Mus musculus: one gene and its partners. The protein of the gene in region 1 interacts with the protein of each later gene in a biochemical or structural test. Links are inferred from orthologs where the notes say so. Each region holds a gene or a part of one and is shown in the gene's direction. Other genes may lie near its edges.

The links.
Region 2: of the proteins of Chek2 (region 1) and Atm, one has a biochemical effect on the other in vitro, tested with the Homo sapiens proteins (6 studies listed by BioGRID, with this or other methods). The link is inferred for Mus musculus from reciprocal best matches to the Homo sapiens genes CHEK2 and ATM.
Region 3: of the proteins of Chek2 (region 1) and Cdc25a, one has a biochemical effect on the other in vitro, tested with the Homo sapiens proteins (5 studies listed by BioGRID, with this or other methods). The link is inferred for Mus musculus from reciprocal best matches to the Homo sapiens genes CHEK2 and CDC25A.

The regions. Positions count from the first base shown.
Region 1 is NC_000071.6:110,837,190-110,843,751, forward strand, and holds the start of Chek2 (serine/threonine-protein kinase Chk2), read left to right. Parts: upstream 1-2,859; intron 2,860-3,221; exon of another isoform or gene 3,222-3,351; intron 3,352-4,016; 5' UTR 4,017-4,023; coding exon 4,024-4,354; intron 4,355-6,562. Other genes in the region: iron-sulfur cluster co-chaperone protein HscB isoform 1 precursor, read right to left, coding at 2,307-2,539. UniProt on the Homo sapiens protein: Serine/threonine-protein kinase which is required for checkpoint-mediated cell cycle arrest, activation of DNA repair and apoptosis in response to the presence of DNA double-strand breaks.
Region 2 is NC_000075.6:53,525,258-53,531,131, reverse strand, and holds part of Atm (serine-protein kinase ATM), read left to right. Parts: intron 1-3,794; coding exon 3,795-3,959; intron 3,960-5,874.
Region 3 is NC_000075.6:109,877,619-109,883,492, forward strand, and holds part of Cdc25a (M-phase inducer phosphatase 1), read left to right. Parts: intron 1-649; coding exon 650-692; intron 693-1,612; coding exon 1,613-1,649; intron 1,650-2,215; coding exon 2,216-2,317; intron 2,318-3,854; coding exon 3,855-3,959; intron 3,960-5,870; coding exon 5,871-5,874. UniProt on the Homo sapiens protein: Tyrosine protein phosphatase which functions as a dosage-dependent inducer of mitotic progression. Directly dephosphorylates CDK1 and stimulates its kinase activity. Also dephosphorylates CDK2 in complex with cyclin-E, in vitro.

The DNA.
Region 1 (6,562 bases):
TCTTTATTTACATTTCAAATGTTTTACTTTTTGAGACAGAGTTTCTTGTTCTGTTTTTTGTTTTTTTTTGTTTGTTTGTTTTTGAGACAGGGTTTCTCTGTATAGTCCTGGCTGTCCTGGAACTCACTTTGTAGACCAGGCTGGCCTTGAACTCAGAAATCCATCTGCCTCTGCCTCCCAAGGCGTGGGCCACCAACATCACCCTCAAGACAACACTTTAGCCTTCTTTATAGGTGGGCTAACAGGTATGTCATTGGGTCTAGAGCCTTGGCATTACAAAATTTGGGTGTGGGAGAGGGAGAGGGGGAGGGGGAGGGGGAGGGGAAGGGGGAGGGGGGAGAGAGAGAGAGAGAGAGAGAGAGAGAGAGAGAGAAATAGAGCTAGAAATACCTTATAGACTCCAAACTTGCTATATAGCCAAGTTTAGCAACTTAAAAAAGAAATCCTGGGTGTTACTCAATTGCCCAGGGCTGAAAATTTTGCTCCTCCTCCTTTAGCTTCCTGAGTAGTTGGAATTACAGATAGAGACTACTATACAGAGCCTTTGATAACTAGAAGCAGGTATTCTTTATTTATTTTTGTTTTTTTAGAGAAAGGGTTTCTCTGTGTAGCCCTGGCTGTCCTGGAACTCACTCTGTAGACCAGGCTGGCCTTGAATTCAGAAATCCGCCTGCCCCTGCCTCCCATGTGCTGGGATTAAAGGTGTGCGTCACCACTGCTCAGCTTTTTTTTTTTTTTTTTTTTTTATTCTTTTAAAGCATAGTCCTGGGATTTGAACCCAAACCTTGGCTAATACAAGGATGTGTTTTATCACCACTATGAAGTAAGGATTCAGCACTCCTTTCTTTCCAGGGAGTGATTCCAACTGAGTCTGTGCAGTCTGCTACTGTGCAGCCCTGACTGTAGGATGCAAACTGGACTCTGTATCTTTTTGCTTTTGTCTGGAGGTTGGGATCATAGTTGAGTACAGCCACAGCGGGCCCTCCCATTTTAATCTTTAGTTCAACTCTGCGCACACTTCGGTACCTCTCCAATCTCTGAGACAGGGGAGGAAAAAGGCAGAGTGGAGGGGCTGGAGAGATGGCTCAGTGGTTAAGAGCACAGACTGCTCTTCCAGAGGTCCTGAGTTCAATTCCCAGCAACCACATGGTGACTCACAGCTATCCGTAATGAGATCTGATGCCCTCTTCGGGTGTGTCTGAAGACAGCTACAGTGTACTTACATACAATCAATAAGTCTTAAAAAAAGAGAAAAGGCAGGGGGGGGGGGACAAAGTACAGAGAACACTTCTTGGTGTCTCTCCCTCAAATTCTCAGCCTGAATTAAATTTTTGTTTTCTTGAGACAGGGTCTCACTGCTTAGCCTATGTTGGGTTCCCACTTTTGACCCTTTTCCTTCAGCCTACTGAACACTGGGATTTTAGACATAGGCTACTACACTAGGTTTGTTTTGTTCTTAATTGCTTTCGGTTTTTGAGACCTAGTCTCATGTAGCCCAGAGTCTCATCAAACGTACAGGCTCAGCTGTACCCTCTGAGTGCTGGACTCACAGGCATAACACCAACACACCTGGCTTGTTTTGTATTTATTTTCTCCGTTAAATAAATAATTTATTTGCGATGAGATGTTCCCTATTTGTGTGGTTGGCCTCCAAGTGGGGTATCATCTCCTACGGTTGTCTAGCATGCTTTTAATCCTGGCATTGGTGAGGCAGAGGGGGTTGGTGGAATTCCAGGCAGGCCAGGCGAGACTTCAAGGTGAGGCTAAATTAAAAAACAAACAAACAAACAAACAAAAACCTCTCCCAGTTCCTGTAAGTTTGGCCAATGGATTTTCCAGAAGTCTCAGCCCTCAAACCTCCCTATACCGTAAACTTGTCCGTTTCTGTTTGTTGATGTTTAAAAACAAGGTCCTTGTAGCTACTGCTAGTCTTGAATTCCTGAACCTGTGTTTTCCACTTTACAAGTGCTTAGATCACAGACAGGCATCTGCAACTTCACTCCTGTTTGACCCCCGCCTCCACCCTTATCTTCTCTCCAGTCTGTAACTTTATTTCCTCTCCGTCTCAGGAAAACTCCTAAAATCTCACTAGGTACTACTTATACCTATGGCCTACACTTATCCATCTTTGTAGTTGTTTTGAATCAGTCTCGGCAAATTGCCTAAGATGGCTTTGAACTGTGGTCCTCAGCCTCAGACCCCCCCAAGCTGGCTGGAAATTACAGCCCCGCAGACGCGGCCCCAAGCCTAGATCGCTCGGGTTACGAAGCCCGAGCTGCTTTCCCGTCACGACGCGCCGCCCGTACCAGTTCATGAGGCTGAAGTAGTCACGAGTGGGGTCAGGAGGCTGCAGAGCGCGGCAGTGTGAGCAGAAGAACTCATCCCCACACCCGACTTCCCTTGCGTGACCGCAGTTCCAGCACTGCGGTGCAATGCTCTTCCCCGCGGCGGCATTGCTGCCCAAAAGTCTCCTTCCCAGGAACCCTGCCAGCCGCACCTCCCACACACCCAGCAGGGCACGGGCTCCGCATCCCCACATTGGGACGGCCGCTCGCTGACCTAGGTAGCAAGACCCGAGGGAAAGGAGGAAAGACCGTCTCGCTGCTGATTGGTTAAGGGAGTCGAGGAGGCGGGATTAGCCGCGGGAAACCAAGACGTCGAGTCCCGTTCTGCATGTTAAACTACAACTCCCAGCAAGCCTTGAGACTAATCGCGGCAGTCATCTTCGGGCTTTCTTACTGGTCCTGCCGGGGAGGAAGGCTTTTTGATTGGTTGAGGGTGGAGTTTGTATCCGTAGGTTTAGCGCCACTCCACTGGCGGAGGCTGTGCAGTGTTTGCGGCTCCTGGTGGTCTCACGCGGTGAGTCATAAGTGGGAAACTTTAAGTGTTTGAGGAGTCGAATACCGTTCTCATGCTTCTTGTGCAAATGGGCCCTCTGCAGCTTCCGCTTTGTCTGCTTTCTTGTGCGAGCGAGGGGGCGCTGTGCATAGTCAATTCTTCCTTTTTATCTGCCCTTGGGGCGCGCGGGGGGGAAGCGGGGGGGAAGTTCACTTTCCTTGTTCCTTGTGAGCTGAAACAGGTCTGGGCACATAGGAAGGCACAACGCCGGGCTGTTCGTTGCCAGAGCGAAGTAGTTTTCATAACGAACATTATAAATGTTCATGCCAGCCCCTAGATGGCTTTCCCCAAATACCTACTGAGAACCCGATCTTCGCTGCTAGGCTCTGCAGGAACTGAAGAGGGTACGTCTGCATACTCAGCATACGTGAGGGGTAGGATGGCAAGGAATGGATAGGAGACAACCAAGCCATTCTCAGCTTCTGTACATGAAGGAAGATGGTGTAATGCTTTGTAAGTGGCCTCTGGAATTCTATTCATAATCCTGGGATTTTGCTATGGTCACTTTTTTTTCTCCCCACTCATGAATGGGCCTGTCTTTCATTTTGAGGTGGTCATAATGTGCCCGTTCCTTTAAATTTCTTTATGTATTTTTTTTAATCACGTGTCTAAGTCTGTGCAGTGCGCACGGGGGCCAATAGAGGGCATTGTATCACCAAGAGCTGGAATTACAGGTGTTTGTGATCTTTTGGATGTGGGTGCTGGGAACTGTACTCTTGACTCCTTAACTGTCTTCATTTTGTATGTTTGACAATACTGGGAGTGGGATCCAGTACTTTGCTTCTGTTGGAGAAGTGATGAACCATCTACCATTGAGTTATAGCAGCCACATGACTAATTTTGGGTAGAGATTTACTTTACTTTTAATTATGTTATCTGTGTGGGAAAGTGCAAGTGTGAGCTCTGGTGATTGCAGAGGCCAAGATCCACTACAGAGCCACTGACTTTGGAGTTATAGGAAACCTCGAGCTGCCAGATTTGGTGCTGAGAACGTAGGGAAACTTGGGTTCTGCAAGAATAGTATGTGCACTTTCCTGCCGAGTCCTCTCCTGCTCCCTCCCCTTCTCCACTCTCGAATCCAGAGCCTTGTTCCTTATTGTTGGACTCTTGTTTTCGAGGTCGGATATGAAGAGTCATCATCAGTCCCACAGCAGCACCTCCTCGAAGGCTCATGACAGTGCTTCCTGTTCACAGTCCCAGGGTGGCTTCAGCCAGCCCCAAGGCACTCCTTCTCAGTTGCACGAGCTCTCACAGTATCAGGGTTCGTCCAGCTCCTCTACCGGCACAGTGCCGTCCTCCAGCCAGTCCTCGCACTCCAGTTCTGGGACTCTGAGCTCGCTGGAGACAGTGTCTACCCAGGAACTCTGTTCTATTCCTGAGGACCAAGAACCTGAAGAACCTGGTCCTGCCCCTTGGGCTCGGCTATGGGCTCTTCAGGATGGATTCTCCAATCTAGGTAAGGCACTTTGTTATATGATATAGTGTGTGTTCAGAGAAACAGTTAAAGAAGGTGGTTAGGAAAAAAAAAAAGAAGGTGGTTAGGTTGTTGCAGCAGAAGTCTCAGGGCCCCTGTGGTAGAGTTTATCTCCTCCTGGTGGCCCTGTTCATACTGAAGATCAGATTTAGGCCTTACACATAGTAGAGAGCTCTTACATTGAACTACATCCAAGGTCCTATCCCTGGCTACCTTATTTTTATTTTTAAATAGAATCTTGCTAAATTTCATAGGCTAGCCTCAAATTTTTCTTTTTTCTTCAGAAAAAAGATTCTATTGTAGCCTGAGTTAGCCTTGAACTCACTATGTAGCTCAGCCTGGCTGTGAACTTTTGATCTTCCTGCCTCTACTTCCTAAGTGCTGGGTTTATAGGCACACATTTTTATCAGGCTCTACTAGTTTGTTTGTGAGACAAGGAATTCTGCAGCCCAGGTGGGCTTGGAACTCACAGTGTAGTTCCTTGGGGCCTTGAACTTGCATTGATCTTGTCTCAGTTGGGATTACACATATCGACCATATGTGGTTCAAATTTATTCATTTGAATGTGGAGACCTAGCTCATTCTGAGACAGTTTTGAAAGATACTTGTATTAGTCAGGGTTCTCTAGAGGAACAGAACTGATAGAATGAGTATGTATGTATGTATATATAGGGACTAATTAGAGTGGCTTACATGCTATGGTCCAGCTAATTCAACAATGGCTACCCAGGGGAGGTGTAAGAATCCAGTAAGAATCCAGGCAGGATGTCTTAGTTGGTCTTTAGTATACATTACTATCTTGTAGAAGTATGCTCTAGGGGGTTGGAGAGATGGCTCAGTGGTTAAGAGCACTGACTGCTCTTCCAAAGGTCCTGAGTTCAAATCCCAGCAACCATGGTGGCTTGCAACCATCTGTAATGAGATCTGACACCCTCTTTTGGGGTATCTGAAGACAACTACCATGTATTTACATATAATAAATTAAAAAAAAAGTATGCTCACTAGTGCTCAGTGAAGGAATGAACTTGCCAGTAAGAGCGAGATCAAACTGGCAAAGCTTCCTTTTTTCATGCCCATTATATAGGCTGCCAGCAGAAGGTGTGGTCCAGCTTAAAGGTGGATCTTCCCACCTCAAGAGATCTGGATTAGCCCAGATGTGGTAGTAAAAGGAAGCAGAGGCAAAGTGAGCTCTGAGTTTGAGGGTAGCCTGGGAGTTCCAGGATTGCTAGGGCTACACAGAGGGACTCTGTCTCAGAAAAACAAAACAAAACAAAACAAAAAAACCCCCAAACTAGGGGACAGGATCTATTAAATTGGTTACATGATATGGCCTGAATCATCCATTCGTAGTTCTCTTCATGATGGAGAGAGTTAAGACTTAGGAGCTACTCAGTCCACAAGACTAGATGTCTCAGCCAGGAGTGCCAGTTTGGCACTGACAGCCTGGAGGATTCCTAGAGAGCGAGCTGATCTTCACTTTGTATTGGAAAGAAGCAGCGAAGGGCAGTAGCAGAAATCATGGCATAGAAGCACTTGCCAGCAAGAAGCGAAGGCAAGCAAGCAACACTTTTTCCCTTGGACCTCCCTGTCTTGGCTTGTAGGAGGTGACACACACTCTGTTGTAAAGTCTCTTCCCTTCAGTTCATACTTCACAGGTCCACCCAGAGGGCTGTCTCTTAGTTGTTTTCAGATTCAGTCTGGTTGACAGTCAAGGTTAACCATCAGTTATTTTTCCATGTCCCCAGGCTGGCTCACCATGTTCTCATCTCATCTCCTGAATGCAAAGGTTATAGATGAGGTAGTGTACCCTGTTGTATATAGTTTCTACTACCCTGCTTTAAGCGCCGGGTGGACCTTGCTACCAGTCACCATCCTGGATCCACAGATGAAAGTCAGACAGATCCCCTGACCCCCCACATGTACACACAAACACACACCAGCTTATTTTTAATATGCTTTTTAGCTCAATGGCTTCTTTTTTTTAATTAGATATTTTCTTTATTTACATTTCAAATGTTATCCCCTTTCCTAGTTTCCCTTCCAAAAACCCCCATCCTCTCCCCCCTTCGACTGTTCCCCAGCCCTCCCACACCCACTTCCTGGCCTAGGCATTCTCCTATACTGGGGCATAGAACCTTCACAAGACTAAGGGCCTCTCTTCCCATCGATGACCAGCTAGGCCATCCTCAG
Region 2 (5,874 bases), on another chromosome or scaffold:
GCCAGGTAAAGAATCTTTGCCAGTGCCGGGCGTGGTGGCGCACGCCTTTAATCCCAGCACTCGGGAGGCAGAGGCAGGCGGATTTCTGAGTTCGAGGCCAGCCTGGTCTACAAAGTGAGTTCCAGGACAGCCAGGGCTACACAGAGAAACCCTGTCTCGAAAAACCAAAAAAAAAAAAAAAGAATCTTTGCCAGCAAGCCTGGTGGCCTCCGTTTGAGCCCAAGAACCGAAACGATGGAGAAAACCAACGCTTCCAAGTTGTCCTATGACCCCTACACAGGCACCAAGGCATGGCTGATTTAGTGCACGTGTGAGCATGTGAGTGCACACAAAGTAAATACTCAGAAAATGTGTAAAAAAAAACATTGTTTTTAAAGTTTACTTTCATCGATTACTGCTCTTTTTATTTTTAAAGATTTTTTTGTTTTATATATGTGAGCACACTGTCACTGTCTTCCAACACATCAGAATAGGGCATCAGATCCCATTACAGATGGTTGTGAGCCACCCTGTGGTTGCTGGGAACTGAACTCAGGACCTCTGGAAGAGCAGTCAGTGAGTGCTCTCAACCGTGGAGCCATCTCTCCATCTCCTTTTTTTTTTTTTTTTTAAGGTTTGCTTATTTATGTGTATGAGTGGTTCTGTCTGCATGTATGTAAATACACTACATATTCCAGTTCTTGAAGAAGTCAGGAGAATCCTCTGGAACTGGGTAGTTACATGTGAGTGCTGGGAACCAAACCCAGATCCTCTGCAAGAGCATCAAATGCTCTTAACCAGTAAGCCATATCTCCACCCCTCTAGCTGCATAAATTATACACAGAAAACCTGGTATTTATTTCCACATGATATCATTTGATGTATTTGAAAATAACCATAGCATTCCTGAGTGATCTTTCCCTAAATTAAATGGACCTAATTCCTTCAGCTCATTGACATAGTTTTAATTTCACTTTCTCTTTAATATTCTTGAGTTTGTTATTTCTTAAAGAGTGGCATCAGTCTTGTAGTATTATCTAGTTGGTACAGCCTACAGCATATTTGTTTCAGTTTTGTTTTTTGAAATAGGGTCTTTCAGTGTAGCCCAGGTTGGCCTCAGATATGTGATCCTGGTGCCTCATATCTTCTTCAGTTCCTGGATTGCAAATATGTGCCCCCATGCTGGCTCTGTACTTACTCATTCATTCATTCATTTTCGTGCTCACGCATATATGTGGTGGGTGCACACGGGTATTTTGGTAAATGGGAGGTCTGCTTGTGTTTTGGAGGTTGCTAAATAGTCCAGGTTTTCTGGTCAACAAGCCCCTGAGTCCTGTCTTTTTTGTGCTAGGATTACAAGTGCATGCCACAATGCTCAACTTTTTTATGTAGGGTCTGGCAGGTCAAATGTAGGTCCTCATCCTTGTAAGGTAAGCATTTTACCAACTAAGCTATCACCCCAGCATTTATTCTTTACATTTATTATTTTGAGATAACACTAGCCTCTTGTAGTCAAATTTAGTCTATTTACTTGTTTTTTTTTTTTAAATGTTATTTTTGTTTGTTCTTTTGCAATGGTAGGTACAAAAACCCATGGTTTATGCATGCTGGGCAGTACTGTGCTACTGAGTTTTAATCTCGACTGAGAGAATTAGGAAATAAAAACATAAATTTTAAAACAATTGTGTTTGGCAGAGAAAGAGAATGTTCTGGGCAAAAGGAGACAGAAAATTAAGATTTCATCTTAATATTTATGAAGTTAACTTTATTTATTGTCTATTGTTGGTCTTGGGCATTTGTGGTAAATTATTCCTTTCCAAAATCTGACAGTACAACAAATACTGTATATAAAAAAGTATTTCAGAAACTGTGGGAGAGATAGCCAAGGACTATAGAAAAGGATCATGCAGACGTGGGCATTGTCATGGGTCACACGCCCGGAATCATAAGCCATGAGTGAAAGCTGCTATTTATACTGTGATAGCATTGCGTACTTACCATAGCCTGACCCTCCTGAGTGTAGCCAGTCTCATCATTAAGAAAATGCTAATCTAACACATTTTACTTATGCATATTGAGTTTCATCCTACCTGTAGTTCAATTTCAAAATGAAGTCAGTACTGAAGAAACCATGGTCTTTTAGTTTCGATGTCAGTATGATTTTATAAAAAGCAAGCCAGTAAGGAATATCCCTCCATGGCCTCTGCATCAGCTCCTGCTTCCTGATCTGCTTGAGTTCCAGTCCTGACCTCCTTTGGTGATGAACAGCAGTGTGGAAGTGTAAGCTGAAAAAACCCTTTTCTCCCCAACTTGCTTTTTGGTCATGATGTTTGTGCAGGAATAGAAACCCTGACTAAGACAAATTGGAAACTACAAAATAAACATTTTAATTTCTGTAGCCTTGGCTATAGCCTTTACCTGGAGTTACAGGCTGACACACCCTAAAGGTAAACTTAAACCCTGCCCTCCCTTTTCTTTAGATAGGGTTTCCTTGTGGCCCAAGATGGTCACTTTTATTTTTTAAGATTTATATATTTATGTGTACACTATAGCTGTCTTCAGACACTCCAGAAGAGGGTGTCAGATCTCATTACGGATGGTTGTGAGCCACCATGTGGTTGCTGGGATTTGACTCAGGACCTCTGGAAGAGCAGTCAGTGCTCTTAACCACTGGGCCATCTCTCCAGCCCCACCAAGATGGTCTTAAACTTACTTACTGTATAGTGAAGAATGATACCTTAACCAGAATCTTGCCCTAACCAAGGACTATTTGGATTATTGGTGTGTAATACTGTTCCTGGCATAATTTTGTTTTTAAATGTAATTTTGTGATCTTTAAAAATATACATTTAGGGGTGGGGGAGATTACACTGGCTGCCTTTCCGGAAGACTTGGATTTGATTCTTAGCACCCACATGGGAGCTCTCAACCATGTATAAATTCAGTCCTTAAAGATCTGGAGCCTTCTTCTGATTTCTGAGGCACTGCATGCATGCAGTGCACAGACATACATGGAAGCAAAACACCCATGCACATACCCATTTTAGAAGAACATTTATTAGCAATGAATTTTCAGAATCTAAACTATTGTGCTGTTAAAACTTCAGCCTTTTCTATATGTATGCTATTTGTCTTCTGTTTAGATGTAATGGAAATAATCTTGCTTTTTAGAGTAGCTAGGCTATTCTTAATAGAATATTTCAAGATTATTTTAATAAATTTATTCATAAAGCTGCTCAGTGACTTAGAATCCTTTTAATTCCAGTGCCACAAATTGTGAGTTCAGTATAAAAATTAATCTATTTTTGCTGTATTTTTAGAGGTTGGTAAATTTAATCTTTAATGGTGCTATCTAGCAAATGTTTTCTTTTTCTTTAACTTTCTGGGTCATATATTATCCATTGCAGATACTCATTTCTTGTCATTTACAGTATTAAATGCAGAAATGTGATTGTGTTCCAGTTAAACTTTATTAACAAAATGGCCAACCAGTTGAATTTTACTTAGGGGCTACCCTGTTGAGAGAAACTATGAGAGTGAGTTAAGAGAAACTTGCTGAATGGAATCACTTAAAGAAGTTGGCACTTAGCTGGGCGTGGTGGTGCACGCCTTTAATCCCAGCACTTTGGAGGCAGAGGCAGGTGGATTTCTGAGTTCGAGGCCAGCCTGGTCTACAAAGTGAGTTCCAGGACAGCCAGGGCTACACAGAGAAACCCTGTCTCGAAAAACAAAACAACAAAAAAAGTTGGCACTCTGAAGGAGTCTTTATTTTTATGATCTATACATTTTTACTATTTTGTTTTATTTTTAAATAGGAGCACCCAGGCTAAAATGTCAAGACCTCTTGAATTATGTCATGGATACAGTGAAAGACTCATCTAATGGTCTAACGTATGGAGCTGACTGTAGCAACATACTACTCAAAGACATTCTTTCTGTGAGAAAATACTGGTGTGAAGTATCTCAGCAACAGTGGCTAGGTATGTTTTGAAGCCTGTGATTTTTTCCCCCCCTTATAAGATGAAATTTCAACAATAAAAGCAGTCTATATCCCACAGACGACTCAGAGTTTAATATTATATTGATGAAATTATATCATTGTAGTTTCAGAGCCTTCATTTTCTTCCTTTTCAAGTAACATCTTGCTATATATCCCATTCTGGCCTTCAACTTGTAATCCTCTGCATTGGTCTGTTAAGGCTGGAATTATAAATATGGACTACCATGCCCAGTTCTTAATTTTCATTTATTATGTACTTTGAAAAGCATTAAGACAAGCTGGTGAGATGGCTCAGTGGGTAAGAGCACTTACTGCTCTTCCAAAGGTCCTGAGTTCAAATCCCAGCAACCATATGGTGGCTTACAACCACTCGTAATGAAATCTGATGCCCTCTTCTGGTGTGTCTGAAGACAGCTACAGTGTACTTATTTATAATAATAAATAAATCTTTGGGCGAAAGCGAGCAGGGACTGAGCGAGCAGGGTTGACTGAAGCGAGCAAAGATCCAAAATTTAATTCCCAACAACTACATGAAGGCTCACAACCATCTGTACAGCTACAGTGTACTCACATACATTAAATAGATAAATACATCTTTTTTTTTAAAAAAGTATTAAGTCACATTGTTTATAGTAGGTGTTTACCACTAGAACTGGAATTACAGATTTCAAAGATTACTGCTCTGTTTTCAAATATTCAGCCGTCCAGTGACTGAGAAAAATAGTCAGCTAAAAATTACCATGCCATTCACTCTCTCCAGGCTTGTTTACAGTGTGTACACAGAACAGCGATACCTTAACTGAGCCATAAATAAAGGAGGAAACCAAAAGAGAGATGTCACAGAGGTTGAAAGCAAGGGTTCTGAGTTAAAAGGGTTGTGGTAGATACTTTAAATGTCAGAGGAAGGATAACGTGCAAAAGTATTCACTGTGTTAGGCAGAGGTAGATATTAGGTAACTAGTAAGGGAATGAAAATCAAATGCGTTAAAATATCTTTTACTCATTGACTTACTAGATATTCAAAGTACTATTCTTTTTAAATTTCTATTTCCAGACTGTTCACTGCTGTGATACAAAATTATTTCTTCCACCTGGCATCCTGGTCTGAGCACTTGAGAGAGTTGTTATTAAATCCTAATCCCAAATCACTGAAAGTATCACTTCTCGGATCATTGTGATGCAGTGTAGCTTAAGGCCTCACCAGAGTCAAACCTGCTTCTATAGCATTTCAGCACTACACTTCAGTCAGGGCATTAAACCGAAGCACACACAGGTCTGAATGCTTCATACCGTTTAGTTCCATTGACACGTGACAGAATTGCTCACATATGGTGTCTGAAGAACCTTACCTTTGGTGATATTTGAGATTTTATCTTTTAAACGCCACAAACAGTTTTCACATATGCAGTTTTACTGTTCATGGAGGAGTGCATACATTGCACCTTCTGTGAAGAAGCAGGATTCTACTCTTCTGAGACTCCTTGAGGTGTCTCGTGCTGTCCTTCATGCCCTCTCTTGAGCATGATGGATTCTGAAAATGTGGACCATTCCCCTCGAGAAACATGAAGCTTGATGTGCTATAATGAGAAGCAATGGCAGTGTTGGCCCTTGCTCTTTCTTTTCTGTCAGTAAAAGAGAAAATTGTTAAAGAGGATTCTTCCACTTCAGTATGTGTGCATGAGCATTTTTACCATGCTGTGGCTATCTGATACATTGCAAACATGTTAACATAATTGATAGAGTTTTATGAACTCTTATTACACAGTATGATTAAAACTACAATGTTTGATTTATTTGTATTGGCCATATCTCTTGTTTGATACCCAATTTTAAGCCAATTTTATCCACTTTTGCAGAAGCATGACATGAGCAATTCAAAAGGAAGATAAAGACAG
Region 3 (5,874 bases), on another chromosome or scaffold:
AACAGTACACATAGAAATTGTGGTGTGGTGTGGTGTGGTGTGAAGTGACAAACACCCTTTAGTAGAGTACAGAGGAAGCTCCTGAGACAGTTTATGAAGAGAAGAAGCGCCAAATCTTTATTCCAGTTCTTTTTTCTTTTTTTTTTTTTTAATGTGTGCTTTTATATATGTGGATGTTGGCTCACATGCCTCTCGTGTGTGCATGTGGTGTGTACTTTCCTCAAAGGCCAGGAGAGGGTGTCGGATCCCTTGGAACTGAGTTACTGGCGTTAGCATGTGGTGGCTGGGAATTGAACTCAGGTCCTCTACAAGAGCAATTGTGCTCTTCTGAAACATCTCTCTAACGCTACTTTTTGAAGACACAGTGTCACTATATACACCAGATTGGCCCCTTGGAACTGAACTTACCTGGTTGTATTTTTCATACCCCTAAATGAGTACATTTGAAAAAATAACTCCACAAAAACTTAGAGGGGTCAGTACTATCTGGGGAAAAAAAAATCAGTCAATCTTGATATTAGTTGGCCTCTTCAATCTTGTTTCCCTTGATGGTATTTGCAAATAGAGGATCCATGGGTGCACTTAGGAAATGTTGCTTAACACCAGAATGTGTATTACTTCCTAAGAATTTTGTTTTTATTTCTCAAAGGTTTCTGTCTAGATTCTCCTGGGCCCTTGGACAGTAAAGAAAAGTATGTATTCGTTACTTTAAAATTTTCTACTTAGAAGGAAAGTTTTCCTTAAGTAAGCCCAGTGGCACAGGCCTGCGGTCTCAGCTACTCGGGAAGTTAAGGCGAAAGGATCAGACACTCAAGGCCTGTCTGGGCAATGTAGTAAGATCCTGTCTCAAAGTGCAAAGAGCACCCGACTGCTCTTCCAAAGGTCCCGAGTTCAAATCCCAGCAACCACATGGTGGCTCACAACCATCCCTAATGAGATCTGACTCCCTCTTCTGGTGTCTGAAGACAGCTGCAGTGTACTTACATATAATTAATTAATAAATAAATAAATAAATAAATAAATAAAGTGCAAACTCGGTGATAGAGTGCTCGTGTGGTATGTGAGGCCCCAGGCAGGGTGAATCCCTAGAACCTCCCAAAAGGAAGAAACTTGTTGGTTAGCTTTTGATATGGAATCTCATTTTGAAGCCCTGGCTTGCCTGCCTGCCTCATGGGTGCTGGGTTAAAGGTATGCGCTGTTGCTCCTGGTCAAAACTTAATTTTTGAATAACGTTCTTCATACAGTGGACTAGAGCTCTGTAGTTAGCTGTGCCTGCTGAGTTGCTCGGATGCTAGAAACACTACTGGGAATGAGTGCTGCTTCATACCAGCAGTTTGCAGGACTTCCCCCCCTTTAGGTTAGCTGTAATTTCCCCTGCTCTCCTTTTTGACGTTAGGCCTTAAATGAACGGATGTATGTATTGTAGGAGACATCTTGGGGTTTGGGTTGGGTTGGTTTTTTCGATCTGGGGCGCTCCTGAGATCAGAGAACACTATTCTTGTATATGCTACAATGAGAACCATGCCATGCCCCTACTCTAGGTTGAGCAATGTGAATCTGCTCATATGAATATCTCTTTATTCTTATGTTTACCTTTTTGATCTCATTACAGCCTTGAAATTTCCCTGACGAGAATAAATTCCCTACCTGTAAGTTCTGTTGTTTTGAGCTAATACCTGTAAATTGCTCCATCAAACACCTTTCCCTACGATGAGAAAGTGGGCATTGCTTTTCTACATCCCTGTAAACACATAGGCAGTAAGGTATTACCTAGAGGAACTTCAACAGTAACAGCCTCTTGTGGACTTTGTACTCACCTCAGTTTTATCAAACCAGGAAATGTTCTTTTTATGCAAATGTTACTAGGGGGTTGGTATGGCACTATATCATACCTGCCAAGAGGTCAATGCACCTTGTCTGATTAGGTGGAAGGCCATTCTGAGTTAGAGCAGGTTGAACCCCTGGGCACTTATGTGGTGGTAAGCTAGTTTTTCCAAACCCCACTTCATTTCTTTAAGAATTAAAGTTTTGGCTGGGTATAATAGGTCAAACATGTAATCTTAGCATTTGGGAGGCTGAGGCAGGAAGGTCATCTCAAGTTCAAGGCCAGCCTTGTCTTCAAAGTGAAACCTTATCTTAAAAAAAGAAAAAGGTAACCTGAGTTTTCCATTGTGCTTGCCTCTGTGAACTCAATTTCTCTGTTTTACTTTGATAGCAGAAGCTCCTGGGATGTAGCCCAGCCCTGAAGAGGAGCCACTCTGATTCTCTAGACCACGACACCTTTCACCTCATCGACCAGGATGAAAATAAAGAAAATGTAAGCATAGCATCACCATGGCAACCCCAGCTGGCAGTGAAACCTAAGTGTCTGTCAGCAGCTGACAAGTGACATGGTTGGGCTGCCATCTAACCTGACTAATGGAAAGGCCACACCTAGCCTCTCAGTAGAGAAATCTGATTTTGAATCTTGCTTCTTCTACCTAGCTTTGTGATGCTGGAGTTTTGCTAGGCCAGCGCCTTTTTCCTGTACCTTATTTCCTCCGATGAGTATCTGTCACATTTATAAACACTGGATTGAAACGCTAAAATCCAAAGCCATGCAAGTTCTGTGGAGAATATCTGAAATGGTTGCTTTGAGGATGGTGTGTTTTATCCAGAAGTCCATGTGTGCCCTGCCTGGCTTTCTCTCTTAAACTGTACAGGGTGTCTTGTCTAGAATAGTTGGTCAGATTGATTGGCTTGCCTCTCGGCCACTCTATTTCCATATATTTGTTGTTTCCCATTTCCTGCCAAAATACCAGTCAATAACCCTTACAAAACCTACGTCTTGTATGAAAGCAGATTTTGTCTGGCAACTTAGGGAGACATCATGAGGTATTCCATGCAAATGGATTCCCTCCTTGACTGCTTGGAGCAGTTTGTCAACCTTTCCAGTACAACTGGACCAAAGTCTAGATGTAGCTCTTGACTCAAACTTGACTTCTCCCAAGGTTGTCTTCCTGGAAGCTTTGCTCTAAAGGAGAAATAGATAGATTAAATAACTTTCTGGAGTGGTCCTCTCTGGCTTCAAGATCGTAGGCACACCATTGAACCTGTAGATGTAGTTTTCTTACTGAACAGGCAGGTTGTATTTGATGATTAGATAAGCTTATGTTCAGAGAGTACTTAGTAATAAAAACTGATATTAGCAGTTACTGGTTTTAGTACTTAATAACAAGTGTGCTTCTGTAACTTAAAGATAGGCATGCATCTTTCTGCACATGGTGTTCTGCTTTGGTGTATGTCTGTGTACCATGTATGTTCCTGGTGTCTGCAAAGGCCTGAAGAGGGTGTCAGATCCCCTGAAACAAATTACTGATGGTTGTAAGCCAACCTGTGGGTACTGGGAATCAAACCTGGGTCTTTTAGAACTGTGTTCTCCAGTTGTGGGGGTTGCACATCTTTAATCCCAGCACTTGGGAGACAGGCAGGTGGACAAGGGCAGCATGGTGTACAGACTGAGGTCCAGGACAGTCACGGCTCCAGGAAGAAACCCTGTCTCAGAATACAGAATACAGAATGAATGAATTGAAAGGAACTCTGCTCTTACTGCTAAGCCATCTCTCTAGACTCAACAAATTTTCCTTAATTTTATTTAGTGAAAGAGAAAGCCTTGGGTGGGAGCGTGCCGCGGTGCACATGAAGACAGGTCAGCTTTCAGGAGTGTGTTCTCTCTCCACTGTGTGGGGTACAGGGATGGGATTCTAATCCATCTTCAGGCTTCCCAGAAAGTGTATTTACCAGCCAAGCCACCCCACCAGCCCTAGAGCTGTTTTATGGACAGTAGAAAATATTTCAAATATGTTGTTTTGCAGGAAGCATTTGAATTTAAAAAGCCAATACGACCTGCATCTCGTCACATCTACGAGGAGAGTAAAGATCCCTTTACACACAGGCAGAATTCAGCCCCAGCTCGGATGGTACGTGGTTTGGCTTTCGTATTTACAACATGGAGAGTGTGTGTGTGTGTGTGTGTGTGTGTGTGTGTGTGTGTGGCTTTCGTATTTACAACATGGAGAGTGTGTGTGTGTGTGTGTGTGTGTGTGTGTGTGTGTGTGTGTGTGCGCGCGCGCGCTGTGGCATCTGGAAGGTAGAGGGAGGAGGGCCAGGAGTTCAAGGTTGTGCTCAGCTCTGCTATGATTTAAGAACAGCCTGGGCTACATGAAATCCTGTTTCAAAAACAGAAAAGCAAGTTTACTGTTATTGTTTGATGGCTCATGGCTGAGGCCTATGAATTAACTGGAGTTGCCTCATTTGGCAGATTAGAAAGTTTCATTAGAGAAGTTGATATACTCATCAAAGGACATGTAAAAACACTAGAATTTAACTATAGGTTCCTCAGTACATGATAATAGTTTGAAAATATATCTGAAACTGATTGGTTTTGGTAGACACTTGGGAGTGAGAGTGCTAAGATCTGTAACTGCCTAAGCATTAAGAGCACCTGTATTATGGATGCTGGGGATGCAGACTTTAAAAGCCTGTGCTTATCTACTGGTTTGGCTTTTGTTTGGACTGGAGAGTTTGCTGTTACTCGCAATTTTTTTTTGAGACAGAATCCCTTAAATCCCTAGGCTAGCCTCAAATTTGTCAAAACTAGTCTTGAATTCTTTTTGCTCCTGCCTGTAGGATCACAAGTGTTTGCCACTACACCAAATTCGTTTTCAAGGTAGGGCATTGCATAGATGAGGTGTATGATCTTGGTACCCCTTAAGCATCAGTTTCAAGAAACAAAAAGCAAAAGATTATTTGGCTATGTCGACACACGTAGTCCCAGCTACACCTGGGACTGAGATAGAATGAACACTGGGAACACTTAGTCACAATGAAGAAAAAAGAGATTGACTACCAGAAGCGAGTGGTGTGCCTTAAATGGGACTATAGTTGTAAAGATTTTGTTGCTGTCTAGGACATCATAATCCCTCATTTAAATACTGGGCAGCTGTCATTTTAGTTTAAATCACTTTTTTTAATTTTGTGGAGCGGGGTGGTATGCACACATGCATATAGCTGCCCTAGGAGGCCAGGGCCTTAGGATCATGTGAAGCTGGAACTACAGGCAGCTGTGAGCTGTCTGATGGAGATACTGGAAATTAAACTCAAAGTTTCTCCAAGAGCAGTATTTGCTCTTACCCATGGAGCCATCCTTCCAGCACCAGCTTCTTTAGTCCTAATGGAGAGCTAGGTTAGAGGCCAAACTTGGTAGTGTGCACCTGTGATCTCAACATTTGGGAAGTGGAAGAAAGAGGTTCACAGGTTTTATCTCATCCTTGACTGTCCTGTCTCCTGAAATAAAAAGAAAGGAATATGGTAGAGTTTAGAACAAACTCCCCTTGTTTCCATTTGTCTGGAGTTACTTGGGCTTTCTTGAACTTTCTCTGATCCGCTATTTTGTGATCCATAAACACTTGTTTTTTCTTTTTCTTTTTTTTTGGTTTTGGTTTTTCGAGACAGGGTTTCTCTGTATAGCCCTGGCTGTCCTGGAACTCACTTTGTAGACCAGGCTGGTCTCAAACTCAGAAATCCCCCTGCCTCTGCCTCCCAAGTGCTGGGATTAAAGACGTGTGCCACCACCACCCGGCTTGACACTTGTATTTTCAACAGGTTTAGCTGATCACAGCCTTTAGCACATGGCCTTAGTTCTCACTGCAAGATGAGCTCAGGAGCCAGGGAGTACAGTCCCCTCTCTGACTCTGAGGGTGCTAGGTTCACACGGTGCACACACACTCACTCTCTCTCTCTCTCTCTCTTTCTTTTTTTCTTTCCTTTCTTTCAGCAGTCCACCTAAGCAATCAAAGTGGTCTAGAGTTCTTGCTAATTTTGTCTTTCAGCTAT